Linked DNA regions of Pelodiscus sinensis. The protein of the gene in region 3 binds, or shares a complex with, the protein of the main gene of each other region. Links are inferred from orthologs where the notes say so. Each region holds a gene or a part of one and is shown on either strand. Other genes may lie near its edges.

Region 1 (7,669 bases), on a different chromosome or scaffold from region 3:
CACAAATATTTTTAACGCAAGAGTTTTTGCGTTAAAGTATTTGCGCAAGAGAGCGTCTACACTGGCATGTGCCTTTGCGCAAAAGATTTGCTTTTGCGCAAAAGCATCCGTGCCAGTGTAGACGCTGTCTTGTTCAAGAAAGCTCTGATGGCCATTTTAGCCATCGGGCTTTCTTGCGCAAGAAATTGATGTTACCTGTCTACACTGGCCTCTTGCGCAAGAACAGTTGTGCGAGGGGACTTATCTCTGAGCGGGAGCATCAGACTATTTGCGCAAGAAGCACTAATTTCATACAGTACAATGTCAGTGTTCTTGTGCAAATACTCGCAGGCAGTGTAGGTAGGTGGCAAGATTTTGCGCTAAATCTTGCCAGTGTAGACACAGCCCCAGATGAACATAATTTGTTGGGGAAAAGTTAACATGGTTTCTGTAAAGTGAAATCATGCCTTACTAATCCACTAGAATTCTTTGAGGCGGTCAACAAGCATGTGGACGAAGATCCACTGCATGGTGGGCAAAAGGGCCTCTGTGGGCCGCATCCAGCGCACCAGGCAAGTGGATCTGGCCCACGGAGGCCCCAATAAGAGCCTGGGCACGGGCGGGGGAGGGCACATGAAACTTCCTCCTGCCATGCAAGGAGCACACAGCACTTCAAAGTGCTCCATGTTCCTCTCAAGGCAGGAGGAGACATCAAGTGTTCCCCTGCCCCCATGCCCTGATTGGCCTGGGGGCGAGGGAGCGGTGCAAAGTTTCCTCTGCCCTCCCCCCACCCTGCAAGGCACGCATGGCACTTCAAACTGCTGCACGCTTGCGCAGGGCCGGAGCAGGGCGAAGGAAGCTTCATGCAGCTCCCCTGCCCCCTGAGGAGCGGGAGTAGGGCAGGAGGTGGCTTCACATGCACCCCCAAGCCAATCAGGGCCTGAGGGTGGGGGAGCTGTGTGAAGCTTCCTTCACCCTGCCCCAGCCTTGCACGGAGCACGCACACTTCAAAGTGCCACATGCTTCTCGCAGAGCAGAAGGTTTCCTGTGCTCTCACAGCCCCCAGAGCCTGATTGGCATGGGGTGGAGGAGCATGCCAAGCCTTTTCCAGGGCATGGATGCCTATTGGGAAGGGGGGGGCAAAGATCTGGGGCAGCCCTGTCCTTCCTGTTTAGGCCCCGCCCATTCCAGGGTGGCCCAGAGCCACTTCCAATTTTTCAAGTGGCCCCAGGGCAAAAATTATTGCCCACCCTTGATCCACTAGATATCATGTACTTAGATTTCAAGAAAGCTTTTAACAAGATCTCTCACCAACGGCTCTTAAGCAAAGTAAGCTGTCATGGATAAGAAGGGGAGAGTCCTCTCATGTACTGATAACTGGTTAACACATAAAGGTTAGGAATAAATGGTCAGTTTTCAGAAAGAAGTAATTAGTGGTGCCCCACATGGATCTGTTATGGAATGAATCCTATTAATAAATTATCTGGAGAATGGGGTAAACAGTGAGGTGGCAAAATTTGCAGATGATACTAAACTGCTCAAGATAGTTAAATCCAACATAGACTGTGAAGAGCTTGAAAAGGAAATCACAAAACTAGGTGACTGGGCAACAAAATGGCAGATGAATTTTTCATATTGATAAATACAAAGTAATACATATTGGAAAACAATCTCAATATCCATAAAAAACTATGGAAACTAAATTAGCTGTTACCATTCAAGAGAGATCTTGGAGTCACTGTGGATAGTTCTCTAAAAATCCACTAAATGTGCAGCAGTAATCAAAAAAGCAAACAATGCTAGGAATAATTTAAAATGAGATAGAGAATATCTTAATGTGTCTATACAAATCCATGTATGCTCACATCTTGCATACTGTGTGCAGATGTGGTTACCTTGTCTCAAATAAGGTATGTTGGCATTGGAAAAAGTTCAGAAGAGGGCAAAAAATGTTTAGGGACTTGGAATGGCTTCCATACTGGGAGAGATCAGTAAAACTAGGACTTTTCCGCTTAGAAAAGAGGGTTACTACAGTGGGATATGATAGAAGACTTTAAAACCATGACCGGTGTGGAGAAAATGAATAAGGAACAGTTAGCACTTATTCCCATAACGCAAGAACTAGGGGTCACCACAGGAAATCAATAGGTAGCAGTGTAATGGGGCACGGTCACAGAAGACTCTTTGGGAGTGCTTCCCAGAGTGCTGACAAGGCCACTGACACTCACCTTCCTGCTCTCTGGGGGCTTTCACTACCTTGTCCTGCTGGGCCAGCTCCCTGGTCTCCCCCAGCTAAGGCACAGAGCTGAGATCACTACCCTCCACTCCCTTCAAGGAGCAGTACAGACACTGAAGCTCTTCAAGCCCAAGGGAAATGCAGTTTTGAGCCCAGCTTCCTGGGATACCACTCCCCAAATGGGATCAGAACCCCAAATGAATTTAGGTAAGCCCCCTTTAACAATAAAACAGCCAGAGCAAAATAGATTACAAATTTAAAATAACAGAAAATGCTTAGCTAATTCTAACACTAGAACCTCAGTACAAACTTATTATAAACTCACCCTAAAATTGTTCTTATTCTAGATCACCCTCCAAACCAGGGAAATTGCCTCTCCCTGAGGTCTTTAGTTATCCTCCTGGGAGTACCATGCCAGCTAAAGACAAAGAAACTCCTGTCATGGGCTGGGTCTGTGCACTGCTGAGGGCATCAGCTTAGGGCGAATTGCTCAAAACCAGGGCTCCTCACAGCCCTCAACTGGAGACCTTTCCCAAACAGGCCACAAACCAGTCACACGGAGTGCTTCACCTGCCAATCTGGCCATCAGGAAGCGTCAAGCAAAACCCCTCAGATACCCCAACTCTCCCTCATGGGATTTTTATATTCCTGGTGTCTCCCAAACTGAAGCTGGTTACATGATCAAGTGACCTATCTGTGGAAGGTTGTTTACCTGTCAGCAGAGTTGAAACTACTGACCAATGAGGTTAGGACTAAGGATGTTAAATATCAGTTAATTGAATAGTCAATCTCATGAATTCTTATCGGTTAGTTGACTATTCTGTAGTTCCCGGGGATGGGGCTGGCAGCCAGTGTGCTTTAGCCTCACTCCTAGGGAGCCCCTTGCCAGCCTGTACTGCTGCTTCTCTATCAGAGGCAGCAGCACAAGGTGCCAGTGGAAGCTGGTCCACAAAGGGAGCCAGATTAAAAACCAGCTCCTCTCATGGACCAGCTGCCTGCCACCCTGCACTGCTGCCTCTGATGCAAAGGCAGCAGTGCAAGATGGCAGTTGCCCCTATCGGGTGGGGGGACAGGGAGGGTAGTCTGAGCCCCCAGACCCAGTGCAAGCTGGAACTGAGCTGGGCTGCCTGCTCGCCTGGCTCCTAATATGCTTTAAATGCAGCGCCACAGTGGAGGCAAGTCTCGGACCTGGTGCAAGCTAGGACTGAGCCAGGCTACTGGTCAGACTGCTAAAAAATGTATGGTGGGGGGAGTGCATATAGTCTATAGCAGCGTTTCCCAAACTATGGGCCGTGGCCTGGTACTAGGCCGTGGGAAAAAAATACCGGGTCTCAGCGTGACTGCCGGGAGGGGAGAGGAGCGGGGCGGGCTGAGAGGAGGTGTGTGTGAGGTGGAAACTGGCCACTGGGAAGCAGGGTTGGGGGCAGTGGGGCTCTTCCGCGGAGATCGGAGGTGGGGGGGGCAGCTGGTGGAGGCAGGGTTGGAGGCAGCGGGACTGTCCAGTGGAGATTGGGGGCGACCAGCCAGCAGAAGCAGGGTTAAGGGCAGCGGGGCTGTCTGGGGAAGATTGGGGCGGGTGGGTGGCAGAAGCAGGGCTCGCCGGGGGGATTTACTGGTCCCCGTGTCAAAAAGTTTGGGAACTCCTGATCTAGAAGAAAAGTGGCTGGATGTTCCCTGTTGTAACCGATGGCTGCTCAGGAGAAATTCAGTTGCTGCCAGTTGATTAGCACAGCACAGCACCAGTGTCCAGTAGCATGGGGCATATCCACACATGGCTCAGTGCACATAACAAAATTTATTCCGCCAATGGATGGAAAACATTAGAGGAAACTCTTGCTGGATGAGGTAAATTATTTTCTTTTCCTCAACTAGCCACGGCCCGTAGTTTGGGAAATGCTGTTCTAAACCATAATTCTGCCTACCTTTCCAAATACAAAATAAAACAGAATGCAGCCAGAAAAAGGTGCCTAGAGTTATGTATCCTTTTGTTGTTTTCTCCCCACTCCCCCGTTTTGAAGGCTCAGTTCCATTCAAAGTATTTTGAACCAAGTTTATTTCTCCTGCCTGTCCAGGTGTCCATGAGATCGCCTCTTACCGGCTTCTCTGGCCTTGTATATACTGTTTCTATAGTTCCCTCTTTTTCCCTGTCTGCTCAGTGTTTTCTCTTCCTGTAGCGCTCCCCCTATTCTTCCCTCCTCCATTCTGCCCCCGCACGCCCCACTGCGCTGCTTTTCAAGCCTCGCGTTCCGCTTTGGGGGAAGAAGAGGAAACGGCATCCACCAGCCCAGCCTACCCCCATCCTACTCTTTGCTCCCATAGGCAGGTCTCCGGCCTGGGCTGTTTCTGGCCCTTCTGGCTGTCCGTAGCCGGGACTGTCCTTGATTCAGCGGGAGGAGGTTCGCCAATCCGCGCGCGGCGGGAAGGCTGCTGGGAGCTGAGTAGCCATGGCGACGGCGGGGCGCTGTGGACCCGTTGTTCTGTTGCTTCTGTTGCTCAGCGCGCGGCTCTCGGCTGGGCAGAGCTTCTCCCTGCCGCTGCGCCAGCCCCAGGACTGCGGCGATGGCCGTTACTTCGATATCTCCAGCCTGGCGTGCAAGCAGTGCGGGCCCCAGCAAGGGCGGAGCGCCGGGGGTGAGCGAGCGAGCGAGGGGCTGGTGGGGTGGTGGGGAGTCCTGTCTCGCTGCGGGCGGGGTGCGGTGGGCGGTGTAACAAGCCCAACCTGCCTTCCGTCTGCCCAGGCCTTGGCGGGTGCGTGGCCCCCTTCTCTGGGACGAGCTGTTCTGGGAGGGTCCGCTCAATGACGGGCCAACTTGAGGCAGAGCCTGGGCAGAGGGGCTGCGGCATCATCATGTTACTTGCCCGCCCCTGCTGCACGAAATACCCGTGAAGCTGCGTTTGTGGTGAGTCCCTGGGAGCCGAGTTGCGGGCTACCCTAAGCAGGGGCAGGGGAGGGAGAGTGTTGTTCAATGCTGGGCTCTTTAATTCAGATTGGACTTGTCAGAAATCGGGATGTTTGTTCGTGGCACGGGAACGCAGGTACCCGCGGAATGGTGACGTGTCGGCAGTGATCCGCCTGCAGAGCTTAGACGGGTACTGAGTTAGTGATGCTGCCAGGGGAAAGTGGTGCCCTAGGGAATTTTTGTCCTGTGACTTTTTGTTTTTCACTCTAGCATAGATGGGTTGAATTTGTTGTACATTCCCCATGCTGAGGCAATAAGTAAATTTTCTGGGACTACCATAATTGAGGCCCAACTTAAATGTATACCCCAATTTAAAAAATACAGTAAAAGAACCAAAAAATGCCACCATGACTTAACAACCAAATAAAAGAAGCAATGAGAAAGAAAAAGGTGTCTTTTAAAAAGTGGAAGTCAAGTCCTAGTGAGGAAAATAGAAAGGAGCATAAACTCTGTCAAATGAAGTGTGAAAATATGACAAGAAAAGCCAGAAGGGAGTTTGAAGAACAGCTAGCCAAAAACTCAAAGAGTAATAGCAAAATGTTGTTTAAGTACAGGCAGTCCCTGAGTTACGCGGATCCGACTTATGTCGGATCCACAGTTACGAATGGGGATTTTCTCGCCCCGGAGGACTGGAGCAGCGGGACGTTGGGGGAGCCAGCAGACCAGGGAGACGGGGAGCAAAGCGGCGGAGGACCCGGGCTGGACCCGCGGCGCTGATCTGGAAGCGCCGCGGGTCCGGCCTGGGTCCTCCGCCGCTTTGCTCCGCATCTCCCTGGTCTGCTGGGGGGTGACGCAGCTAGTGCCTCCCCCCCAGCAGACCAGGGAGACGTGGAGCAAAGCCCGAGGCCTGTGTTAGAGCAGGTGGGGCGCTGCCGGTTGGTCCCGCAGCACCGCTCCTTGGCGCTACTGGACCAACCCGGCAGCACCCCAGCTGCTCTGCCCCAGGCGTCCTGATTCAGCCGCTGCTGATCAGTTTCAGCAGCGGCTGAATCAGGACGCCTGGGGCAGAGCAGCTGAGGTGCTGCTGGGTTGGTCCAGTAGCGCCGAGGAACGGCCGCGCTACTGGACCAACCCAGCAGCACCCAAGCTGCTGTGCCCCAGGCGTCCCTAAGTCAGCCGCTGCTGAAACTGACCAGCGGCTCACTACAGGAAGCGCGAGGCAGAGTTGCTCTGCCCCGGGCTTCCTGGAATCAGCTGCTGATCAGTTTCAGCAGCAGCTGACTTGGGGACGCCTGGGGTTCTTAAGTTGAATCTGTATGTAAGTTGGAACTGGCGTCCAGATTCAGCCGCTGTTGAAACTGATCAGTTTCAGCAGCGGCTGAATCTGGATGCCAGTTCTGACTTGCATACAGATTCAACTTAAGAACAAACCTACAGTCCCTATCTTGTACATAACCCGGGGACTGTCCGTACATCAGAAGCAGGAAGCTGGCAAACAACTAGTGGGACCATAGGACAATCAAGATGCAAAAGGAGCACTTAAAGTCTATAAAGTCATTTCAGAGAAACTAAATGAACTCTTTGCTTCAGTCTTCACAGCTGAGGATGTTAGGGAGATTCCCAAACCTGAGCCATTCTTTTTAGATGACAAATCTGAGGACTTGTCCCAGATTGAGGTGTCGTTAGAGGAGTTTTTGGAACAAATTGATAAACTTAACACCGAGACTAGATGGCATTCACCCAAGAGTTCTCAGATATGACATTGTGGAACTATTAACTGTGATTTGCAACTTATCCTTTAAATCAGCTTCAATACCTAATGACTGGAAGATAGCTAATATGATGCCAATATTTAAAAAGTGCTCTAGAAGTGATCCTGGGAATTACAGACTGATAACTCCAACATTAGTACCAGGCAGATAAATTGAAACTATACTAAAGACTACAATTATCAGATACATAGATGGACATAATTTTCTGGGGGAAAGTCAACATGGTTTCTGTAAAGGGAAATCATGCCTTACTAGTCTACTCAAGTTCTTTGAGGGGGGTCAACAAACATGGTCGGGGGAATCCAGTGGATTCCAGAAAGCCTTTACTTAAGAGCCTTCGATGAGGGCCCTTGTCAAAGTAAGTTGTCATAGGATAAGAGGAAAGGTCTTTTCATGGATTAATAACTGGTTAAAAGATAGGAAAAAAAGAGTAGGAATAAATTGCAAGTTTTCAGAGTGAAGAGAGGTAACTAGTGGTGTCCTCCAAGGGTCTGTCCTGGGACTAATCCTAGTCAACTTACTTATAAATGATCTGGAGCAAGGGATAAACAGTGAGGTGGCAAAATTTGCAGACGATGCTAAACTGCTCAAGATAGTTAAGAACAAGCAGACTGTGAAGAGCTTCAGAATGATCTCACCAAACTAAGTGACTGGGTAACAAAATGGCAAATTAAATTTAATATTGATAAATGTAAAGTAAGAGACATTGGAAAAAAATAATCTGAACTATATGTACAATATGATGGGGACTAATTTAACTACAGGCAGTCCCCGGGTTACAT
Region 2 (7,736 bases), on a different chromosome or scaffold from region 3:
GGTGCAGAGATCAGCAGGGCAGAAGGATACAGAGCAGGCTCTGCGTGTTGTTGAACATGGATATCCCAGAGAGGAAGCCGGCCAGCTCCACGGCGAACAAGCCCAGCGTCACTGACAAGGCCACCACCAGCCTGTGAGGGTCAGTGCCAACGCCCAGAAGAGAGAGAGAGTTACACAGGTGCAGGCTGGAGAGCATAACCCCCCCAACTGCCCCCACCCCAGAGCCTACCAACCCCCACTCCCAGGCCAGTTCTGCCTGTCTCAGTCTCTCCACAGGCCCAGCTCCCCTGTCCCTTCTCCCACTGTCTCATGCTGCTTCCACTCTTTGGGCCCATTCCTGCCATCCCAGCATATTCTCCCTCATGCCCTTCCTGGCCCATTTTCCTGTCCCCCCCTCCCAGGTGCCCCCCGATAGGCCCCAAGCCCTGCCAGGCCAGGCCAGTTGACCTCTGGCACACCCGGTCCCTGGCTGACTGACTCACTCCACGTCCTGGCGCTCATACTGCTGCTGGCTGTACTGCAGGGGCAGTGAGGCACGGACATTGTTGTCCTGGAAGATAGGAGGCAGTGAGGTCAGCCCTGCAGGGTGCAGCGTCCTGAGCATACAATTCAGCATGGGAGATGTAGGAAGAACACAGCAAATGCAAGGGAAAGCACACCAGTGGAGCAGACAAGAATCCAAGAGTCCTTAACCCACCAGCTCATATTCCCCTCCCAGAGCTGGAGAAAGAACCCAGGTGTCTCAGTTCCCAACCACCCTTAGCCTCTACCTCCTTGCCACAGCAAGGGCTGAACCCAGGAGTCCTGATCCAGCTTGTTGCTACCCACTTCCCTACAGCCACAACCCCTCCCTGGTTCCTGCGGCCCATGCACTGTATGCTCTTCTCACCTGTGGAAAGTGACTGTATGTGTGTGGGGGGGGGAGGGGGGGAGGAATGAGAAGAGGATGCTGGATGGGTGAGATGGGAGCCCTGCAAGGATGCATGTTGGAGGACTGTGTAAACTGGGAGAGGGGGTGCGTGTGTTGGGAAAGCTATAAATGTGTCGCAGATTTGTGCCTCATAGTGGCAGGCGGGTGTTGCCAGGACAGCATACAGCATGTCATACAGGTGTGCATGGTATGGATGGGTGTTGCACGGATGCGTATCACTGGGCCAGGCATGTTGCATGTTGTAGTCATAGGCGTGGTAAGGGTGGGTTTGTTGTATCTGTGTATGCTGTAGATATGGTTGTTGTTATGCGCGTTGTTGGGCTTCGCGTGCATTACAGGCATCATTCGTTAGTGTGGCATCAAAGTTGGCATGCTGTATGGGTGTACAGTACATCATAGGCATGGTTATCAGATGGATATGCACCTTCAGAATGGACATGTGATACAGCTGAACATGAGAAGGGTGGATATGCTTGGGGTGAGCGGGCAGTCATTCTATAAGGGTGCACACCACAAGCATCAGATCGGTGTGCGTTATTGGCGTGGACAGGCAGGCGTGCTGTGTTGGTGTACGTGGTGGATGTCACATAGGTGTGTATTGTCTGGGTGCACAGGTGGGTGTGCAGGGTGTATGTTGTGGGGATCACAGGGGGATGCGCAGTCAGGGTTTCTTACCCGGGACCAGAAGATGGTGATGACGATGACAAGATGAGCTGTGAGGGTCAGGAAGCGGGCAGGCACCAGCCCGCTGACCAGCGCCATATGGCCCGTGTCCCTCACGTGGTCAGGGTCCTCTGGGCAGGTCTGACTGGGGGGAGCAAAGGTGTCAGACTGGGGAGACCAAAGGAAGCACTAGGCCCCCCACCATATTTCTGAGGAGTTTCCCCATCATCTCCCCAGTAGAGCCCCATGTCCATCACTCCTCCACCACCCCAGCTCCTTTTCCATCTCCATCGCTGCCTCCCTGTGGCGCACCCCATTTCACCCCATCCTCACTGCGTGGTGACATCTCCCCTCCCTCATGAAGTCCCCCCCCAATACCTCCCATATCTATTGCCCTACCCCCCCATCATCATCTCTGCATCACCATCTGCACCCCCATCCCCTTGAGACCTCCTTCTCCATTGCCCCCTCCTGTGGAACCCCCCCCCCCGCACTCTTCCCCCCCATGGAACCTCCCCCCGCACTCTTCCCCCCATGGAAGCCCCCCCCCCGCACTCTTCCCCCCCATGGAACCCCTCCCCGCACTCTTCCCCCCATGGAACTCTCCTCCCCGCACTCTTCCCCCCCATGGAACACCCCCCCGCACTCTTCCCCCCATGGAACCCCCCCCCCCGCACTCTTCCCCCCATGGAACTCTCCTCCCCGCACTCTTCCCCCCCATGGAACCCCCCCCGCACTCTTCCCCCCCATGGAACCTCCCCCCGCACTCTTCCCCCCATGGAACCCCCCCCCGCACTCTTCCCCCCATGGAACTCTCCTCCCCGCACTCTTCCCCCCCATGGAACCCCCCCCGCACTCTTCCCCCCATGGAACTCTCCTCCCCGCACTCTTCCCCCCCATGGAACCCCCCCCCCGCACTCTTCCCCCCATGGAACCCCCCCCCGCACTCTTCCCCCCATGGAACTCTCCTCCCCGCACTCTTCCCCCCCATGGAACCCCCCCCGCACTCTTCCCCCCCATGGAACCCCCCCCCCCGCACTCTTCCCCCCATGGAACTCTCCTCCCCGCACTCTTCCCCCCCATGGAACCTCCCCCCGCACTCTTCCCCCCATGGAACCCCCCCCCGCACTCTTCCCCCCATGGAACTCTCCTCCCCGCACTCTTCCCCCCCATGGAACTCTCCTCCCCGCACTCTTCCCCCCATGGAACTCTCCTCCCCGCACTCTTCCCCCCCATGGAACCCCCCCCCGCACTCTTCCCCCCATGGAACCCCCCCCCCCGCACTCTTCCCCCCATGGAACTCTCCTCCCCGCACTCTTCCCCCCCATGGAACCCCCCCCCGCACTCTTCCCCCCATGGAACCCCCCCCCCGCACTCTTCCCCCCATGGAACCCTCCTCCCCCCGCACTCTTCCCCCCATGGAACTCTCCTCCCCCCGCACTCTTCCCCCCCATGGAACTCTCCTCCCCGCACTCTTCCCCCTCATGGAACCCCCCCCCGCACTCTTCCCCCCATGGAACTCTCCTCCCCGCACTCTTCCCCCCCATGGAACCCTCCGCCGTGGGACTCCCCCTCTCATAGAAAAGAACCCTCAGCGCTCCCACCCGCGGCCGTGATCCCGCTTAGGCCCCCACGTTGCCCGAGGCAACCGCCTCTACGTGCATCCCTTGGCCTCGCCCCATAGAGAGAGGCGCGCCTGCGCGCTGGGTGGAGATGTCGCGAGAACTTCCCGTCTGACGGCGAGGACGAGTCCTAAATCGCCATCTTGTTTGAGGTCAGGAAGAGGGCAGCGGCCCTATGAAGTTCCTCTGTGGGAGGAACCGTTTCCATGTAGGGGATGTAGCTCAGTGGTAGAGCGCATGCTTTGCATGTATGAGGCCCCGGGTTCAATCCCCGGCATCTCCAGTTTTTTTTTTTGTTATTTCAGCCTCTAGCTGGGGGTGTTACCCTGGGAAGCCCTTCCCTGCGGCAGGCTGAAAAATGGTTTCGGTAAAGAAAGGATCCAGGGACAGTGGGAACGATTTATACCCAGGTATCCTCCAATCAACATGCAACAAAACGGTTTATACCCAGGTATCTGTCAGTCAGCAAGGGGCAAAATGGTTTAACAGACTCCCAGGGCTGGAAGAGACCTCAGGGAGGCATCGAGTCCCGCCCCTGCCCACAGCAGCACCAACCCAAACTAAACCATCCCAGCCAGGGCTTTGTCAAGCTGGGACATAAACACCTCTAAGGATGGAGATTGCACCCCCTCCCTAGGGAAATAGTTTTTCCTAATGTCCAACCTGGACCTCTCCCACCACAACTTGAGACCATTGCTCCTTGTTCTGCCATCCCTCACTACTGAGAACAGCCTCTCTCCATCCTCTTTGGAACCTCCCTTCAGGAAGGTGACAGTTGCTATCAAATCCCCCCTCACTCTTCTCTTCTACAGACCAGTGGTTCCCAACCTGTGGTCTGCAGACCCCTAGGTGTCCATGCCAGTACTGTAGGGGATCTGTGGAAAGTTTAGGAAAAGAAAAGAACAGGCCCACCACAGGACTGGGACTTTCCACCAGGCCATTATTGCCCAGGGCTCACTGTTCATAAGCAGTCACGCACACTCTGCCTCCCGCCCTTGAGACTGGATTTTGATACCTCAGGAGGCACAATCTGTCCTCCAGCCACCAGCTACACTGCCATTTACACTCCAGCCCTCTCCCCACTCCCAGTCCCACTCCCACAGTGGGGCCCAATCCTCACTTTCTTTTCTTTTCCTTTTCTTTTTTTTCTCCCCCAGGGCTCCATGCCCTGCCACAGGAGGAATGCCAGGGCAGGAGCTGCTTTGGCCAGGAGATCCCTCTCTCCATATCCTCTGTGGATGGGCTCAAAAAGGTTGGGAACCACTGATGTAGACTAAATAAGCCCAAATTCCTAAGCCTCTCCTCATAAGTCATATGCTCCAGCCCCCTCATCATTTTTGTTGCCCTCTGCTGGACTCCCTCCAAGGCTGTGTCTAGACTGGCCAGTTTTTCCGGAAAATCAGCCGCTTTTCTGGAAAAACTTGCCAGCTGTCTACACTGGCCACTTGAATTTCCGCAAAAGTACTGACTTACTACTGTAAGAAATCAGTGCTTCTTGCGGAAATACTATGCTGCTCCCATTCAGGCAAAAGTCCTTTTGCGCAAAACTTTTGCGCAAAAGAGCCAGTGTAGACAGCTCAGATTTGTTTTCCGCAGAAAAGCCCCGTTCGCGAAAATGGCGATCGGGGCTTTTTTGCGGAAAAGCGCGTCTAGATTGGCACGGACACTTTTCCTCAAAAAGTGCTTTTGCGGAAAAGCGTCCGTGCCAATCTAGATGCTCTTTTCCTAAAATGCTTTTAACGGAAAACTTTTCCGTTAAAAGCATTTCCGGAAAATCATGTCAATCTAGCCACAGCCCAAGTATTTATATCCAAACATCTGGCAGTCAACAACAAGTTAAATCTTTTTTCCTGCCAATCAGCAAGGGGAAAATTATTTAAACCCATGCCGCCTTCAATCAGCATTGGACAAATTGACTTACACCCATGCTCCCTCCGATCAGCAAAGGTCAAGATAATTTCAAACCAGCTATCCTCCAATCAACATACAAAGCCACACATCAGCAATTGCTCCTCACTGACTGCATAAGAAGAATGATTGAGTCTTGAGATTACAGGCAGAGGGCGGAAATCTAAAAAAATATTTTTCATCTATTTATGCTTTTGTATAGTAAATATTAAGGAACAGAATCTCTCTACATTCCCACCCTATCTGTCTATGTACTCCCCCGCAATGCCCTTTGATTTACCTACTCCCCTTTCCTTCCCCCATGTTCTTGCTTAGAAAACAAGAACCCTGAACCACAGCACCTCATCACAACCACATAGAATAGACTCTCTGCAGCAGACTGCAGAGATTATGCTTTTTAGGTAGCTGTGATGGCTGATTGGTTAACGCACTGAATTTGAAATCCCCTGAGATCTCCCTTAGCAGGTTCAAATCCTGTTTGTAGTGATTGGTGCTTTTGCTGGGAGAGACGAGACATGGAGATCTTGCTGACGGAGGGTATGTCTACACTACAAAGTTAGTTCGAACTAACGGACGTTAGTTCGAACTAAATTTCATAGGCGCTACACTAGTGCTCCGTTAGTTTGAATTTAATTCGAACTAGCGGAGCGCATAGTTCGAACTAGGAAAACCTCATTTTACGAGGATTAAGCCTAGTTCGAACTAGCTAGTTCGAATTAAGGGGTATGTAGCCCCTTAATTCGAACTAGTGGGAGGCTAGCCCTCCCCAGCTTTTCCTGGTGGCCACTCTGGCCAACACCAGGGAAACTCGTCTGCCCCCCTCCCGGCCCTGGACCCCTTAAAGGGGTACGGGCTGGCTACGGTGCCCGTGCCAGGTGCAAGCCTGCCAGCACCCAGCCAGCAGACCCTGCACCTGGCATGGATCGAGCCATCCACCCGATGCCCCCCAGCCCTCCCCCTCTTCCCGGGACCAGGCTGGCGGCTCCCGGGAGCTTGCCCGGGACCGCAAGAGGGGAACACCCACCTGGGCTAGTGCAGACATCGTGGACCTCGTCCTCGATCTCCGCACTAGGCACAGGAAAGTGGCCAGCTAGGGCAGGAGAGCTGCCAGCCTGGCCACCCAGGAGCAGGTGTGCAAGAGAATCAAGGGGGTCCAGTGAGACCCCCGACCCTGAGCTTACAATGGCCGTACTGGGTCAGACCAAAGGTCCATCTAGCTCAGTAGCCTGTCTGCCGACAGCGGCCAACCCTAGGGACCCTGGAGGGGATGGACCGAAGACAGTGATCAAGCCATTTGTCTCGTGCCATCCCTCTCCAGCCTTCCACAAACCTTGGGCAGGGACACCACTCCTACCCCCTGGCTAATACCACTCCATGGACCCAGCCTCCATGACTTGATCTCACTTCCCATTAAACTCTGTTCTAGTTCTAGCCTTCACAGCCTCCTGCAGCAAGGAGTTCCACAGGTTGACTCTTTGCTTTGTGAAGAAGAACTTTCTGTTACTAGTTTGAAGCCTGCTGCCCATTCCTTTCCTTTGATGTCCTCTAGTCCTTCTTTATGGGAGCTAATGAAGAACTTTTCTGTATGCACCCTCTCCACCCCACTCATGCTTTTAGAGACTTCTATCCTGTCCCCCCTCCGTCTCCTCTTTTCTAAGCTGAAAAGTCCCAGTCTCTTTAGCCTCTCTTCATATGGGACCTGTTCCCAACCCCTGATCATTTTAGTTGCCCTCCCCTCTCCCAGCCTCTCTCTTCCCCTCTCCCACCTCCTTTTCCCAGTCTCCCCCTGTTTTGTTCAATAAAGACAGATTCCATTTTGGAAGACATGTTATCTTTATTTTGTACATCAAGAAAAGGGGCTAGGGAAGGGTAAGTGGAAGGAGGTGAGGGAGGACTGGGCTGGCTCTGCGGGCTTCTGGGGGTGGAAGCTCTCCTGCAGCCCCCCAATTGCCCCCTCTCCCCAGATGGCAGCCTGCGGCAAGTGCAGCCGGGCTGATGGCTGAGTGCTGTGATGTGCCCAGTGTGGGTAGTCCAGGCAATCCAAGCCAGGACTGCTTTGCAAGCGGGGCACCCCTGAGAACTGTCTGTCCGGGGTGGGGGTCGGGACCCTTTAAGCACAGCCCTCAGCTAGCCTGAGACAGCATCTCCACGCTCTAAGTTCTTCTCTGATGCCCTGCCGGCACTGCTTCCGGCCATCCTTAAGCCCGGTTCAGAGTCCACTAAATGTGGACATGCTAGTTTGAATTAGCAAAATGCTAATTCGAACTAGTTTTTTAGTCTGGATCCGTTAGTTCAAATTAGCTTAGTTCGAATTAACTAATTCGAACTAAGTTAGTTTGAATTAACGTTGTAGTGTAAAAAAACCCTAGGGGTATTTTCTGGGCAAAATTAAGGATGTTAAGTATTGTGTAAATGACTAATCGAATAGTTGATGCATTTTTGCATGGACTATTTGATTAGTCGATAGGGCGGCACTGCCGCTTTGAAGTACCCTCCCCCCTTCTCTCCTCCTCTGATAGAAGCAGCAAGAGAGGGAGCGACTAGTTGACGAATCCTTAACATCCCTAGATGAAATGCCAAGCAGGCATCTATGAGCTGGACAGGTGGGTGAC
Region 3 (8,048 bases):
GCAGATTGCCCATATATCCAAGATACAGTCGGATGGCCTCAATGAGAGAGACTATGACGATGACTGTGACCAGGATGAACTTGTAGTAATCTGGCAAGACTGGGTACTAGAGAGAGGAAGAAAGTAAGAATTCCATGGGGCTGGCATGTGCTATTGCTATTTTATACAGCTCTACAGAAGCTCATGGAATTTGCATTCTGGAAATTCATGCAGCACTGTCAATATTCCTGAAAGTTGACAAGCCGTTGCCCCTGATTTTTCAATCTGCCACCCAACCAAACCTGTCACTAACTCTGTCACAAATTCCTGCACCTCCAGATACTCAGACATTTCCACTAAGCTATTGCACTCTATTAAATAACATTTGCCATGTGTGGGTTGAAGGAAATGAGTAGATGGGCTGAGTATTATATTACTCTTGCAGACAGTGTAAGGAAATAAAATTCAAACAGGCAGCACAGATGTTGTAGGGGATAAGTCCCCTCAGGACTTACCTTCAGCTGGAGCATGACCACACTGCTTACCCACCAAAATGGGAAAAAGTAAAGGTTGAAATAGAGGGACATCTGCAATGGCAAACTGGCAACTATTTCATTATCTAGAGAGCGAGAGAAATCATCATCACCCAAGGTCTGTATCAGACATTATATTTCCTACATAGAGCAGAGAAAGATGCCTCTACTTTAAGAGAACAACTTCAACTCATTAATGGTTGGATTCTGAGATCAACCAAGTTCATCATTAAGCATATGTCAAAGTGGCCAGAGGAAGAATTTTTCTACATAATTCCCTACCGTATTCTAAACAATCTAAGTGTGATGGGAGTATACAAAGAAATAAGGAAGGTGTTAAGCAGAGGAGGTGCTCAAAAGGAGAGCAATAGACAGTGGAGGTGAACTGACTTGTACTCTTAATTCCTGATGCCTGACTGTAGCAATGTGATAATGCTAGGCCTTTTTTTAATGGGACTAAGTGACCATATATATTTGATTATACTCAAATTAAAACTGATCTCTACAAATCAGAACGCAAGCATGCTGATGGAGAAGCTTGCATCGCTTGGTCTCCATGCAATCTTTCTTCTGCACAGAAAATTCTAGACTCCAGCAATGTCAATCCAATATGCTTTTTAAAAAGGGGCAAATTTGAATGTACATTACAGAATGAGGAGTTACAAATCAAACACTATGAAGAGAAGAAAATTAGCTGCTAAACCTCAGAAAAACAAAATACTGACCCTTGGAATACTATGTAGGAGGTAAAGTTCTACAGTGTTTAGAGTTTGCATGTAAATTCCAAAAACAAAACAAAAATATACAACCAGACCCAGATACAAAATAAGTCCTAAAAATGAGAACATCAGGAATGGTTTTGTTTCAACTGACAAGTTTCCTTCTTTCTTTGTCCAATGGATTGATATCACATTAAATCTACTTGAATTAATTATCAGTAAACTGACTGTTGGAAGTTCCCCCCCATTTCTCAAAGTGCAGCCCATAGAAGTATCCACAAGTACCATGGGTTTGTGCATGTGGAAGTTCCTCCTTATGATTGCCTCACCTGTAAGTCCTGTTACGTGTCCCTGGTTCAGCAGATCCAATTCAAACACCCAAACCATCAGTTACATGTGGTGGCAGTGAGAGTCTGATTTATTTTACGTCCTGGAGTGCTTTGTGCTTTTCAGATGAAATATGCTAGGTGGTGGTATAAAATATCTGGCAAGTTACACCGAGTGCCTGGCTGAGTGTGAAGGGATGGTAGTATTTTCACAGAAAGGCACAGAGGCTACGTCTAGACTGGCATGATTTTCCGCAAATGCTTTAAACAGAAAAGTTTTCTGTTAAAAGCATTTGCGGAAAAGAGCGTCTAGATTGACACAAACGCTTTTCTGCAAAAGCACTTTTTGCGGAAAAGCATCCATGCCAATCTAGACGCGCTTTTGCGCAAAAAAGCCCTGATCGCCATTTTTGCAATCGGGGTTTTTTTGCGCAAAACAAATCTGAGCTGTCTACACTGGCCCTTTTGCCCAAAAGGACTTTTGCCCGAACGGGAGCAGCATAGTATTTCTGCCAGAAGCACTGATTTCTTACATGAGATCGTCAGTGTTCTTGCAGAAATTCAAGCAGCCCGTGTAAACAGCTGGCAAGTTTTTCCGCAAAAGCACCCGCTTTTGTGGAAAAACTTGCCAGTCTGACACAGTCAATATGTTTTGCCCTGGGCTGATGTCCAATGGCATCCCAACTGGTTTAATAGTTTGTGGTGCTTTTCTTAAAGCCCCAGCTTCTAGAGTCCTGGGATTGTGAGAATCTCAGCTTTTATTTTTTAGAGCTTCCGATCCTTCCTGGCTGCTAAGAAAAGCTGCCACAACCAAAGAAACAACCATCCCAAAGCAAACCCCTAATCATGCGAAACCCAAAGGCAAAGACCCCATAGTCCTCGTTTAAATCTCAGGATTTTGATGAGGGCCTCTTGAGCTCCAGGGGGGATGCCTGACCTGGGATTTTTGAACGGGTGGGACTGGCAGCACAGCCTAGCTCCCAAGCTGGGGTCTAGCCCCCCAGCAGGCAGGCTCACAGCCTGGGGAGCGGTACCTAAGCCAAGCCGTGGAGCAGGAACAGGGGGGCTGAGGGCGGAGACGATGCATTAGCGCAGCTCTCACTCCCGCGAGCCCGGGGATGCTCTGGCACCCGCAGCCCCGGGGACGCCAACGCGGAGCCACGTCCCCAAGCCACGGCGCAGCAGGGAGGCCCCGCGCGGCGGCTGCTGCCACCCCTGGGGCGGAGGGAGGGGGGAAGCTGCCGGCGCAAGGCAGCGCGCGCCCCCTTCCCGCCCTTTGAGCGCGGGGACGCGCTGTCCCATCCGCCCAGTCCTAGCCATAGCCCCGCTACAGCGACGTTGGCGCCGCCATCTTCGTTCCTGGCAGCGACCCTCTGCCCCCCCACCTCTCTCCCTTTGAGGATGCCGCCGCCATCTTTGTTGCGGGCAGCGCAACCAGGCCTTACCCAGGCTGCCGCCGCTCTCTCGGCGCTCCGGGCCGGTGCGGTTGTTGTCGCTGAACACAGACCGGCTAAAGGAGCCGAGCCGCCTCCTGACCGGATCCGGCAGCGCCATGCTGGCCGCGCGAGGGGCAGCCAACCCGCTGCCATGGCAACTAGCGATTCGAGCATGCGCAGTAGCAACCCGCGAAGCCGCTACCCTGACTGTGCCCCCACCAACCCCAGCCAGGGCAGGAAGGGAGGGGTCGCTCCTGTCCCAGGCCCAGGGCTCCTGCTTGCTGCCAGCCCCAAAGCAGAGCCCCAGGCCTATGGGTGGGGGCCAGTGCCAAGTGTGACAAATTGTGTACAAGAACTTATTTCCCCATTTTATAATCTACTACATTTTGAAATTCCAATATTTGCATAGAAAAATATAGCCTGTGATTTCAAAACACATGTAGAAACAAGTTTAGTCATTAAATCATATGTCTAGCCAGGTTGCCAGATGGTTTCAACAAAAATACTGGACACACTTGACATGACATCACAATCCACATTTCATCTTATTTAGAAAATACTGGACACTTATAGTTCTCAATTTGTTTCCTGAACAGAAAGTTAAAATACTGGACTGTCTGGTTCAAAACGGGACGCCTGGCAACCCTCTCTAGCCTTTCCCCCCATGCTCTCTGGCAGGGCACCCCCAAGAGGGCATCCCTCTGTGACGGCGCGTTGGGGGTCCCCCGTCTCCTGCACCCCGAAATGGCACAAACAGACTGCACCAGCCGGTGGAATAGAAGAAGTTTATTGCCTCTCCAGGATACAGCACAGCACAGATGTAATCTGGTCACAGAGCTGGGCTAGGATGCCTCAGGCCCCCTTGAGTTGGGGGGAGACTGGGCCCCTAAACTCCAGCCCCTCTCCCTAGGCTGTCTCCTCCATGCTCACAGACCGCAACTAACTAACTCTCTTCCAGCCCTGCCCCCCAGCCAGGGCAGCATTCCACCTTCCTTTGTTCCTCTCCATGGGGGGTGTCTGGCCATACTGGTTTGCATAGTGACTCATCCTGTTTTGCTGGGTCGTGGTACCCACGGGAGCCAGTGGGGGTTACCCCAGAGCCAGCAGCATAGAAACCAGCCAGGTACCCCCACTACGTCACACCCTCCCTGCCCAGTATTCCCTGGGCCCAACTGAGCCTGGCATGTGGCTGGTTGCAATATGTGGCGTACCCACCATGGCCATCCCACAGCCTGTTTTTTTCACACAATGTCCTGCTGACCCAGATTGGTCCTGTTTTGGGCAGGGGGCTGGACTTGATGACCACCTGAGGTCTCTTCCAGCCCTATGAGTCTATGATTCTATGACTAGGGATGTAATAAAGCAGTCGATTAACCCTTAAACCGATAAGCAAAAGCTAATAGGTTAATGCTATAGACTACACACATTTCTCTCCTCCACCCCTTGCCAGTAAATTTTTTAGCAGGCTGACCAGCAGCCCATCTCAGTCCTGGCTTGTGATGGATTTGAGACCTACCCCTGCTGTGGCTCTGCATTTAAAGTGTATTAGGAGATGGGCAGGCGGTAGGGGTGCCACATGGTTTCAACAAAAATACCAGACACACTTAACATTACATCACACTCTACATTACATCTTATTTAGAAAATACTGGACATTTATATTTTCTCAATTAGTTCCCCAAACAGAAAGCTTAAATACTGGACTGTCCAGTTCAAAACCGGACACCTGGCAACCCTAGCAGGCAGGCAGCCCGGCTTGGTTCCGGCTCATGCTGGGTCTGGGAGTTCAGACCGATCCCGCTCCACCCCCCTCCACCCCCCCCCCCCCCCACACACAGGGGCTGCTGACACCCTGCACTGCTTCCTCTTTATGAGAGGCAGCAGTACAGGGTGACAGGCAGCTGATCCACAAGGGGAGCTGTTTTTTAAACTGGAGCAGCTTCCGTCTGGCACCCTGCGCTGCTGAGTGGCAGGGGGTTCCTCAGGAGTAAGGCTGAAGTGAACTGGCTGCCAGCCTCACCCCCTGGGGCTATAGAATAGTCAACTAACTGATAAGAATTCATGAGGTTACTTGACTATTTAATTAACCCATATTTAACATCCCTACCTAAGACCTGCTTTCAGGGCACCTGAGTCCTTCCAGTTTTCTATATATCCTAAAAGTTTTAAAAACAAATGGTCCAGGAAGTACTGCAGTACTGAGTAGGAGTCCGGTGCTTAAGGCACTAGTGCAGCGGAAGGAGCATTGGATGGGATGAATGGTGTTAGGAGTGGAGAGTATAGCCCACAGTGGATTGAACTGTAAGGCCCATCAGCTGAAGAAGTATCATGAACGTGCACTCTAACTTTAGTAGAAAATGCACTGCACGCTTAAGATATTTCCCCGTGTTGCTTTTGAGTGAAAAGCTAGCAGCAGTGACACCGATACATATTTTTAAATTACTTTTGAATGAGTATTTCCTTACCTTTAAAAACGTTTTTACAAAAGTGTCCTGCTTTTAAAAAAAATTTTTTTTTTCAAAATATGGTCACCTTAACCCCACATACATGAGATTCACCAAGATACACAGGGCCCAGTCTTCTTGGAGGAGAGTGGGGAATCCTGCAATATAAATTATTGTCCCCCTGGACTGCAGTTGATGATCAGTTTTTAGGAATTTTGGCAGGATTTTTGAATTATTGTAGTTTTAACCTAACTGGTGTAACTGCAGAGTGAATTCATATAAATGTCAATCTATTTTAAAAAGAAATCCTACCAAACTGTTTCCCTTGATAATATTCGAAAGATGAGAGTTCTACAGAATAGTTTAATGTTGGTAAAAGTGTTGACACCAATTTTCTTTCACAGGTTTTCCTTGAATAAAGGAAATAAATACAGGCAGGCAAGACCTTATTCCTTGAAGTGCTCAAAAGAGATTTAGGGGAGGAAGAGCTTGTGGGCAGTTCAGAGGAAGCTAGAGTAATTCCTGAGTGGTTGGAATTTGTACTGAAAGTGGTTGGAAGTTGCTATCAATTAATTAAAGTTGACACGGTAGTTAAATGTTGTTGCACCCATTTTACGGAAAATGCCATTAGAGTTTGACCCTTTGAAATGTGATGTTAACCTTCTGTTGAAATGATTCAATATAAGAAGAAAGGTAATCCAGTCTATCTACATGTTCCTCATAAAATATCAACTAGAAATTTTAAAAGAAAAACATATGATAATCGCTCATTTCTAGAATCCAGGAATCCTGACTCTCAAAACCTCTACAGACTAAATAAACTGCCCACAGAAGCAAATATAAATGTTAAGGAGTAATTCTAAAGCTAACTTTATATTTGAGGAAACATCATTAAAGGTGTGTGTCTCAGGACATTAGAATATAATTTTAATTGAAGTGTCTGAAACCTCATTTCATCATCGTTACCTTGGTCTTGGATAATTTAATGCATTTTAAAATATTGGTTCAAAATCCTTACCACTGAATATCCCTATGAAAGGAGCAGGTATGCATAAAGTAAAAGTATGGCAGTGAACTTATGATTAAGTCAGATCTTCATGGAAGTTCTTCCCACATGGCGTGTTGGTAAGTCAAGGTTCCATCTTAAAATAATTTACTCCTTTGGGATTTTCCAGTTGATTACTTAAATTAGGGAGACCTTTTTTCTTGTCAATAACAAACGATATGCTGCTCCTTGGCTAGACACCATGCAGTCACTCTGCACAGATACTTAGATCTCTCATTCTATGTTTCTAATTTTATAGGCCCAATTCCGCCAATCTGTCAGGTGTGAAGTCTCTAGTCACATGAGTATTTCCTTTACAGTGAATGGGACTTGTCACACAATAAAGTACTCTTGACATAAGGAAGATTTGAAAAATTGGGCTCTCAGTTCCCCAAAATAGTGGGAGGTAGCACAGCTTATCAATCAGTGAAGTGGCAAAATTGAGCTGCAAGTAAAGGAGAAAAGCCAGTGGAAGGCAGATACTAAAGAAATCCATGGATTTGCTATGTGCACTTGGTTTCCACATTCAGGATATGAATCTGTGATATTTGACAGGGCAATGTGTTCAGCAGATGGCAAGCATCCTACCTGCCCCAGTTAAAAAAAAGCCTCATACCTTTGTTCAATATTTAATTTTCATGTATATGCATACAATATTCCCCATAGGTAGAATATGTCTGTTTTTCAGCTAATCCAATTTAATTGTCCTTGGGCTCATGCAACCATCTATTGTGAATTTAATGAACAGGAGACTTCATTTTATGGAGTGTGTTTTTAGTGAGCAGATTCTTTTGTTTCAAGCAGAAAGGGAAGTTATATTTTTAAGGAACAGAGCCTGGGGAACAGCTGAACTGGTAATTTAGTGCTTTATATAATAGTGAACCATAAGGAAAGGAAGACCATTAAACTGCACGTGACTGGAACAGATCCGGTACTCATACAGATGGTCATCATAAATGTTCAACTTTTATAGAAGTCCTGGATATTCATCTCTTTCCTTTTTTTAAATGGAAAGGAATCCCCATTCCTGTATTTCTTCATGTCTATCCACCTCTTAATGGATGAGGCACAACTACCTAGAGATTCCAATTCTTTATGCTTTGAAATAAGCTACTGGAATGAGAAACTTCTGCACGTTGAAGAAATAAACCCTTAATTGCACAGTATTTTAAATTACTGTTTTATTTCTCTCCACACATGCTAACTATAAATAAAACAAAAGTCCCTGACAATCTGCCTGTGAGCTTTAAATCAGGAATATTGGATCTCTGTGTATCCACAATTGTCCGACTAAATTGGGAGACACTGGCTGGGCTCCCAGACTGATGCTCCTGGGGCTGTCTGGCAACAAAACTAAGCCATAAACACCAGATGCAGCATAGCTAACAAAATTTAAATATCACCGATTTTTTCATTTGGCATTTCAGAAACACAGAGTTCATTTAAATGGTGCCAGAGATTTCCTTTCCACCTGAATCATTATTGCTATACTACAAAATGTGTTGATTTGAGTCTTAATGACTGTTTTCTTCTGGTGCTTATCTTACAATACATCCCAGGTTTGAG
Region 4 (7,516 bases), on a different chromosome or scaffold from region 3:
GAGGCCGGCAAGCTAACCCCAGCAGGGGAAAGTACCAGGCCAGGGGAAGGGAAAGTGGGCACAGCCGCAAGAGGTGCAAACATGTGCTGTCAACACGGGTGGAGCCACGGCTGTGCCGGGGGTGGGGTCACGCGCAGCACACCAGAGGAGGTGGTGCCACATCGGTGTGGCAGCACCGTTTTTTAAAACGGTCAGCCACGGATCGGGGAAGGAGGAAGAAGATGCACCGAGCAGGGCATGGGGGAGCAGAGCCTGGCTAAAGGTAGGATGGTGGTAAGTGCACCTGGTGGGGCAGTTGTGTTGTAATGGGCTGGGGCGGCGAATGCCAAGTGGCCCAGCTCCAAGTCCAGCACGTGGTCTGGAGCCCGGGCTGCGGGGACTTCTGGGGCCTGATCGCAGCAGACTCCAGCCCTGCAAACTGGAAGGCAGAAGGTAAGGGAGGGAAAGAACAGGGGGAAAGGATGGGAGAGGAAGGGGCTTGTGCTGACGGGAGAGGGGCAGGTCAGGAGAATAAAGGAGAAGGGACCAAGGGATAGGGTGGAGGAGAGACAAATGCCGGGGGGAGGGAGGGGAGGTAAGTGGAAACAATGAGGAAAAGGGCAGGAGGGGAGGTGTCACTGGGAGGAGGGACAGGGTGATGCTGGGAGAGGAGAGGGTAAGGGCACTGGAGGCTGGAGGTGCTGGGAGAAGGCTTGAAAGAAGGGGTGGGCATGAGGAAGGCAGGAATGGAGCAAGTCATGTGTGAGGGCACAGGGCCATGAGGGGAACAGGGGCAGAGGGTGGTGAGGGGGCGGGCATCAGGGAAAAAGTGGGCAAAGGAGGCAGGGGGAGTGAGGGAAGGGGGAGGCACCAGGAGGGTGCAGGGGTAAGGGAAGGTGCAGGTGCCAAGAGATTCTGGGCGTGAAGCAGAAGGGCAGACACCTGCAGGGGAGGAACCAGCACCAGAGGAGAGGTAGGGCAGGTGTGTATAAGGAGGTGTTAGGAGAGGGAATGAGGAAGGGTAGCTCACATGATCAGAGTGGGGCTACTGGAGGAGTGGGTACAGGGGGGGAGAGAAGGGCTGGTGGAGGGGGGCACTGGAAGGGAATATCATCCTACTCTCCCAACTATGAAAAATTGACTGAAGAAATGCAGTGCCAAAAATCACACTGACTTTATTAGAAAAACCACGTGAATTAATTATACCTATTTTCCATTAAGTGCTGATGAGCACGTATGATTAACTTGTTTAACTTTTTTTCATATGTGTTTGTTTGTTTATTGAAATCCAGATACAAGTAAAAAATATTCTTTGTATTGTTAATTAACCATAACTAGCTATGTTAAAGTAAGAATAATAAATATTTTGGCAGTTCAATAACGTTTTATTTTTTTTAAATAAGATGAAAACTGTTTGATGTTTATTTTGTACAAAGTTCTTAATTTTTCTTACAGATAGATAAAAAAGAACAAATTCACATGGTAAGGTGAAAGAATAATTGCCAAATAATTAATTCCTTTTACATGTAAAATTACCTTTATCTTATGAATTCATATATTATGTAATAAATAAATATGAAAAACATCATAATGTACAAATACAAAATAAGTCTGGAAAAATTGTTGGTACCCGCCACACTTCTGAAAACATGAATGTGCTATTGGCCACAAAAAGGTTGGGGACCACTGCTCTAAGTGTATTGAGGGAAAAGCAAAACATAACATTCATATTTCCAGTTCTACAAATGCTTTTCCCTGAATGCTGCACCATAAATGTAAACAGGAATTTACAGAACATGTAAAAAGGCCAGGGTCCCTGACCTGGAGAGTTTAAAATGCAACTCTGAAAAGCAAGTGTGAGGCAAGTGTGAAGACAAAGGTGGTGTGGGGACTACTGCAAGCAAGAAGACCTTCAGTGAAGCCTTTTGCACAGAAGTAGGGCTTCACAGGAAGGATTTCCAGCAAGCAATTGTTCCAAGTCACAGGTAGGCATGGATGAAGGTGTGACGCTAGAAAAGGAGGGGAGGGGTAAGGAGCCAAAAGGAATAGATCAGAGGCAAAACCCATTTTAAATACACTCAGAAAGCAAATACTTTAATGGGAGGTGACCTCCTAGGAATCCCAAGGCCCAGCTGGCACCCTTGTGGAAGTGTCACCCAGAACTTAAGAGAATTATAGAGATGGAAGCTACAGGTGATGGGAGCAGGGAGGATTCTCCCAAGCTCCCCCCCCCTCCTCCCTTCTGCCCCCAGCACCCTGAATCAATCTCTTCTGGTCCTTTCCCTACCCCATGTTGCAGTTTTCCATCCAGGTCTGTACCCAGTTGGGGGGGGGGGTGTAAAAGCACCCTCCCTGGTTCCTCATGGGGCTGATTCTGGCTGGACAGGGGAAGGCAGGAGTGGCACACTGAGTGGCTATTCTCCAGCCAGCTGGGGAAAGGCTGGGGCTGTGCGCTGTCCGAGCCTTCCCCCTACCCCACGCTTCAGCTGGCCAAGGGGAGTCTGGGGATTCTTCCGCTTCTCCCTCTTACCCCTCCCCGCAATAGCGAGGCCGGGAGGCAGGGCTGGGCCTCGCTCTTAAGGGAAGGGGATAAGAAATCAGCCACAGCCTTCCCACAGCGGGCCGGGGCACGCTAACTTGGGGGCCCATACGGGGGTGCATTCTCGCCCTTGGGGCCCACATTTCCAAGCAAAGCACACACCCCCCAGACACTTCTGCGTGCGGGTCTGCCATCCCCCCCACTCCCAACACCCCCCCTTCTCTAGCCTGAAACCCCAGCCCGATCCCTAGCGGCCTGGCAGACTCCCCCGCGCGTCCCCTCGGCCGGTTCCCGGCTCCCCAGCCTCTCGCCGGGCGGTACCCACCGTCTGTGACTGGGGAAGGCCCGGCCCCGGCCCGCGTCTCTGGAGCCGCTGCAGAGGGCGCGGCTGAGGTGTCTGGCGGCGGCAGCGAGGTCGGGGCTGGGGAGGCGGCCCCGCCGGGGTCCGGGCCGGGTGCTGTGGGGCTTGGGGCGGGGCGGCCCGACGTCTCTGCCGCCTGCGGCCAAACAGAGGGAGCGCTCGGGCCCGCGTCCGCCGAGGGCTGCGGGGAGGCGCTGGCGGGGCCGCTCTGCCCCGAGACTCCCCTCACGGCCGGGAGCAGCGGCAGCAGCAGGAGGACCCCGAGCCTCAGCGCCATCCCCGCTACGCGCGCCAGCGCCTCGGTAACCAAGGCGACGCCCCGGGGTATTATGGGAGAAAAGAGCCAAACCCCACCCCGGGGCATTATGGGAGAAGTCAGCTACCTCCCTGGGCCAGCACAGGGGGAAAAGGCTAAGGCTCAGCCCCAGGGCATCATGGGATAGGGAAGGGAGGGCACAGACAAGCAGTGTCAGTGCTTGTCTCCAGACTGGAAGAAGGGAGGGTGAGATGGGGCCAGTCTGCCCCTCTTGAAGCCATTTATCATTTGTGTTGCTGCAGCAGCTAAAAGCCTTGCTCCTGCACCAGCACCCCATTGTGCGAGGTAGCAGACACCTCCAAACAAAAAGGCTCCCCACCACGCAAAGCCCTCCCCCTCTGGGCCCAGAAGTTTGTACAGTCACTGTAGCACCTTCCTGAATAAGTGTTTGGGCTCTTCAGTCCTGCAGTTCACACTCCCACAAGCTTCAATGAAGATGGGTAGATTTGGGGATATCGCACTCTGAGTTTTTGGCTACGAGCAATATTAGCATGTCCCATTATTGCAGTTCCACCAATGTCATAGAATCATAGAGCTGGAAAAGACCTCAGAAGATCATCAAGTCCAGCCCCCTGCTCTAGGCAGGACCAGTTCCAACTAAATCAATGTCTGTGATGGGCTCTCCAGTGTTGATTAACCACTGGCATTTTAATCACTATGTAATGGAATGGCTGCCATAGAAGGAGAGATTAATAAGACTGGGACCTTTCAGTTTGAAAAAAAACCACCACAAAGAGGGATACAATAGAGGTGTATAAAATCATGACTGATATTGAAATAAATAAATTAAGAGTTGTTTATTCCTTCCCATAACATAAGAACTAGGGGTCACCAAATGAAATTAACTGGTAGCAGGTTTAAAACAAACAAAATAATTACTCCTTCACACAACTCCTCTCCTGTCCATGGGCCATAAGAGTACACTTTTCTTGATTCTCTGTGGTATGCTGCATAACAGGCTCCAGGGTATTTTGAAAGGTCTGAAACTTCCTCTTTTTCTGTTTTGTCATAATCTGATCATGAATGTTTTTGAAACAATTATTTCCTGCATGTGACCTGACCCTATATCATTATACAGGGTTCTCTTCTGAACAAGTTTATTCTTGCTACAGTAGAACCTCCAAGAGAAAAGTTATGAACTGATCAGTTAACCACATACTTCATTTTGAACCAGAAGTATTTAATCAGGAAGCAGAGAAAAATGTTTTAGTAGTTTGCATTTAACAGGACTGTGTGATATAGGATTTGCTTTATTTTTTAGACTTGACAGGGGAAGGTAACTGTTTCCGAGCTTGTTTCATTTAAATTAAGATGGTTAAAAGCATTTTTCTGCATAATAAAGTTATAATGCTATATTAAATCAATACTCAATTGGGGTATGTCTACATTTGCTCCCTAGTTCAGACTAGGGATGCAAATGCAGACGAGTGAAGTAGCTAATGAGGCCGGGATTTAAATATCCTGCGCTCTATTAGCATGATCTCACCGGTGCGCTAGTTCGAATCACAGCTGATTTGAACCAGGAAGTACGCGCCGGGACGCGTTAGTTTGAACCAATGCCCTTGGTTCAAACTAACGTTACTCCTCAAAAAATGTAGACATACCCTTGTAAACTTTTGAAAGAACAACCATAATACTTTATTCAGAGTTACAAACAATTCAGAGTTACAATGAGGTATACAGAGCTTTAAGCTTCTCCTGTACATTGACATAAAGCAGCAGCTTTTATTCTTGCTACCTTTTTGACCATGAGAGGGCGCACTGAATCTTGTAAATAGCACATCAGAATCCTTACTATACCATTAACAATCTTTGAATAACTAGCACTCCCATCACTACTACCACTTCCTGTTGCAGTAACATTTGGGTACATATTTTTTAAATTTTTTGAGAGGTTTCAGCTGTAATACTGGCAACTAAAATATTTCCATAGACTAGGTACAACATGGGTAGCAGCAGTGCCAACTTCACATTGTCCTCCTTTGTCAACATGTCTCCCACCTGCACTGGACAGACTGCAGACCATGTCTAAGGTCCCTATAGTCCATTCAGGCTTTGACTTTCTGCTGGGACTGCCAGCAATTAGACTAAATAGTGCCAGATGTAGTGATTAGTTTTGTGAGGCGAACGATGGTCTGTCTGCCTGTAACTGTATCAAGACCAAAACATTAATTTCAAATAGACAACCAAACAGCCCTTCAGATGTTAACAACTGTCAATCACTACTAATTTAGGCTGGATTTCAATTTACTTATCATATGACAGTTTCCTTGAGTCATTCTGCTCCCTGGAAATTAGTTATTCTGTTAAGGACACATTCTCTTCAATCACCCCACTCTACTAGAAACCCCAGAGCGCTTTACTTTCTGAAAGAATATCACTTGGTTAGCCCTCTAGAACAGTGTCCAATTAAAATGTATATAATACTACTTTATTTTCCTCTATAAGAAGAGAGAGGAAAGTTGATACACATTTGTCTTTTTGGTACTCTTTATTATACTGGGGATTTACGAGTTTGATGCAATTGGTAACAAATCTATTCATTTTCTTTAAGTTAGGTCTAAGGACAAAATCATGTTTCTGTTATGCGTAGTTTTCACATTTGGGAAAGATCAACAATGACTTAAAATATGGTTGAAACAAAAAACAGGACTATGTAGCACTTTAAAGACTAACAAGATGGTTTAATAGATGATGAGCTTTCGTGGGCCAGACCCACTTCCTCAGATCAAATAGTGGAAGAAAATTGTCACAACCATATATACCAAAGGTTACAATTTAAAAAATGAACACATATGAAAAGGACAAATCAAATTTCAGAACAGATGGGGGGAGGTAAATATCTGTGAGCCAATGCTAATAGAGGTGATAACTGGGGAAGCTATCTTTGTAATGGGTAAGATAATTAGAGTCTTTATTCAAACTTGAGTGTAAAGTGTCAAATTTAAGCATGAATGACAGTTCAGAGGATTCTCTTTCAAGAGAAATCTTAAAAGGCCTTTGAAGCAGGATGCAGGTAATCAAGTCATTGAGACAATGTCCTTTCTGGTTGAAATGGCAAGAAACTGTTTTTTCTTTGTGATCCTGTCTGATATCTGTTTTGTGGGCATTGATCCTTTGGCGAAGTGTCTGAGACGTTTGTCCAATGTACATAGCAGACAGACACTTTTGGCACATGATTGCATAAATTATATTTCTGGATGCGCAGGAATATGTGTTCTTGATCTTATAACTCACTTGGTTAGGTCCAATAATGGTATCAGCAGAGTGAATATGTGGACAAAGCTGGCAACGGTGTTTGTTGCAAGGGAAGGTACCAGGGTTGATATTAGTGTGGTATGTCCTGTGGTTGTTGGTAAGAATCATCTTGAGGTTAGGTGGTTGTCTATAGGAGGCTACGGGTCTGTCTCCCAGAACCTCTCAGAGTTTAGTATCCTGTTCCAGTATAGGCTGTAGTTTATTGATAATGTGTTGGACAGATTTAAGTTGGGGGCTGTAGGTGATGACAAGTGGTGTTCTATTGTTGGTTTTCTTGGGTCTGTCTTGAAGTAGTTGGTTTCTAGGTATTCATCTGGCTCTTTCAATTTGCTTTTTTATTTCTCTGGGTGGGTAGTTGAGGTTTATAAATGCTTGGTAGAGATCCTGAAGTTTCTGGTCTCTGTCAGTGGGATTAGAGCAGATGCGGTTGTATCGCAGGGCTTGGCTATAGATGATGGATCGTATAGTGTGTTCTGGATGGGAGCTGGAAGCATGTAGGTAATTGTATGAGTCAGTGGGTTTTCTGTAGAGTGGTGTCTAATTTTCCATTGCTGATTTGTACTGTGGTGTCCAGGAAATGGATCTCTCGTGTAGAATGGTCTTGTATAGAATATGGTTCTACTTTATAAAGTGTCTATTTCCTTTTAGTCTCTCAGTGATTCTGTATCATATGCACTAATTGTACAATCAGTTTCTAATGGTCAGCCTTGCAAAGACAGCTTTGGATCTGAATTAAATCTGTGGTTTTGTTGCCTCCCTCTACCCCCTTCTGTATGAATAATAAAAGTTCTATATGCTTAAATCTGCCCTCCTTCCACTATGTGAAGACTATGTGGTTGCACAGGTGATCATCATAGACACCAACCTACTTCCACCAATTGGTTTACACATGTCTAATGTACTGACACTTGTGAACAATTTGTTTGCACAAGAAGAAATAAAATCCATCTAACTCTCCATAGCTGGGTTGACCCTGCAGACTTAACAGAAAGTAATCACATCTTGTGTGAAATCTTGACCTCAGTGGAATCAAGGGGAGTTTTGCTATTGACTTGAATGGAAC

The links.
Region 1: TMEM17 (region 3) and TMEM67 share a complex: the UniProt entries of both Homo sapiens proteins name them as parts of the tectonic-like complex. The link is inferred for Pelodiscus sinensis from reciprocal best matches to the Homo sapiens genes TMEM17 and TMEM67.
Region 2: TMEM17 (region 3) and TMEM107 share a complex: the UniProt entries of both Homo sapiens proteins name them as parts of the tectonic-like complex. The link is inferred for Pelodiscus sinensis from reciprocal best matches to the Homo sapiens genes TMEM17 and TMEM107.
Region 4: TMEM17 (region 3) and TCTN1 share a complex: the UniProt entries of both Homo sapiens proteins name them as parts of the tectonic-like complex. The link is inferred for Pelodiscus sinensis from reciprocal best matches to the Homo sapiens genes TMEM17 and TCTN1.

The regions. Positions count from the first base shown.
Region 1 is NC_134712.1:41,032,603-41,040,271, reverse strand, and holds the start of TMEM67 (meckelin), read left to right. Parts: upstream 1-4,401; 5' UTR 4,402-4,659; coding exon 4,660-4,846; intron 4,847-7,669. UniProt on the Homo sapiens protein: Required for ciliary structure and function. Part of the tectonic-like complex which is required for tissue-specific ciliogenesis and may regulate ciliary membrane composition.
Region 2 is NC_134734.1:10,821,646-10,829,381, reverse strand, and holds the start of TMEM107 (transmembrane protein 107), read right to left. Parts: upstream 3,324-7,736; 5' UTR 3,199-3,323; intron 1,740-3,198; exon of another isoform or gene 1,736-1,739; 5' UTR 1,694-1,735; coding exon 1,607-1,693; intron 551-1,606; coding exon 483-550; intron 132-482; coding exon 31-131; intron 1-30. UniProt on the Homo sapiens protein: Plays a role in cilia formation and embryonic patterning. Requires for normal Sonic hedgehog (Shh) signaling in the neural tube and acts in combination with GLI2 and GLI3 to pattern ventral and intermediate neuronal cell types.
Region 3 is NC_134713.1:185,703,414-185,711,461, reverse strand, and holds the start of TMEM17 (transmembrane protein 17), read right to left. Parts: upstream 3,170-8,048; 5' UTR 3,112-3,169; coding exon 3,003-3,111; intron 1,921-3,002; exon of another isoform or gene 1,619-1,920; coding exon of another isoform or gene 1,561-1,618; intron 599-1,560; coding exon 495-598; intron 107-494; coding exon 1-106. UniProt on the Homo sapiens protein: Transmembrane component of the tectonic-like complex, a complex localized at the transition zone of primary cilia and acting as a barrier that prevents diffusion of transmembrane proteins between the cilia and plasma membranes.
Region 4 is NC_134725.1:34,086,520-34,094,035, reverse strand, and holds the start of TCTN1 (tectonic-1), read right to left. Parts: upstream 3,259-7,516; 5' UTR 3,244-3,258; coding exon 2,844-3,243; intron 1-2,843. UniProt on the Homo sapiens protein: Component of the tectonic-like complex, a complex localized at the transition zone of primary cilia and acting as a barrier that prevents diffusion of transmembrane proteins between the cilia and plasma membranes.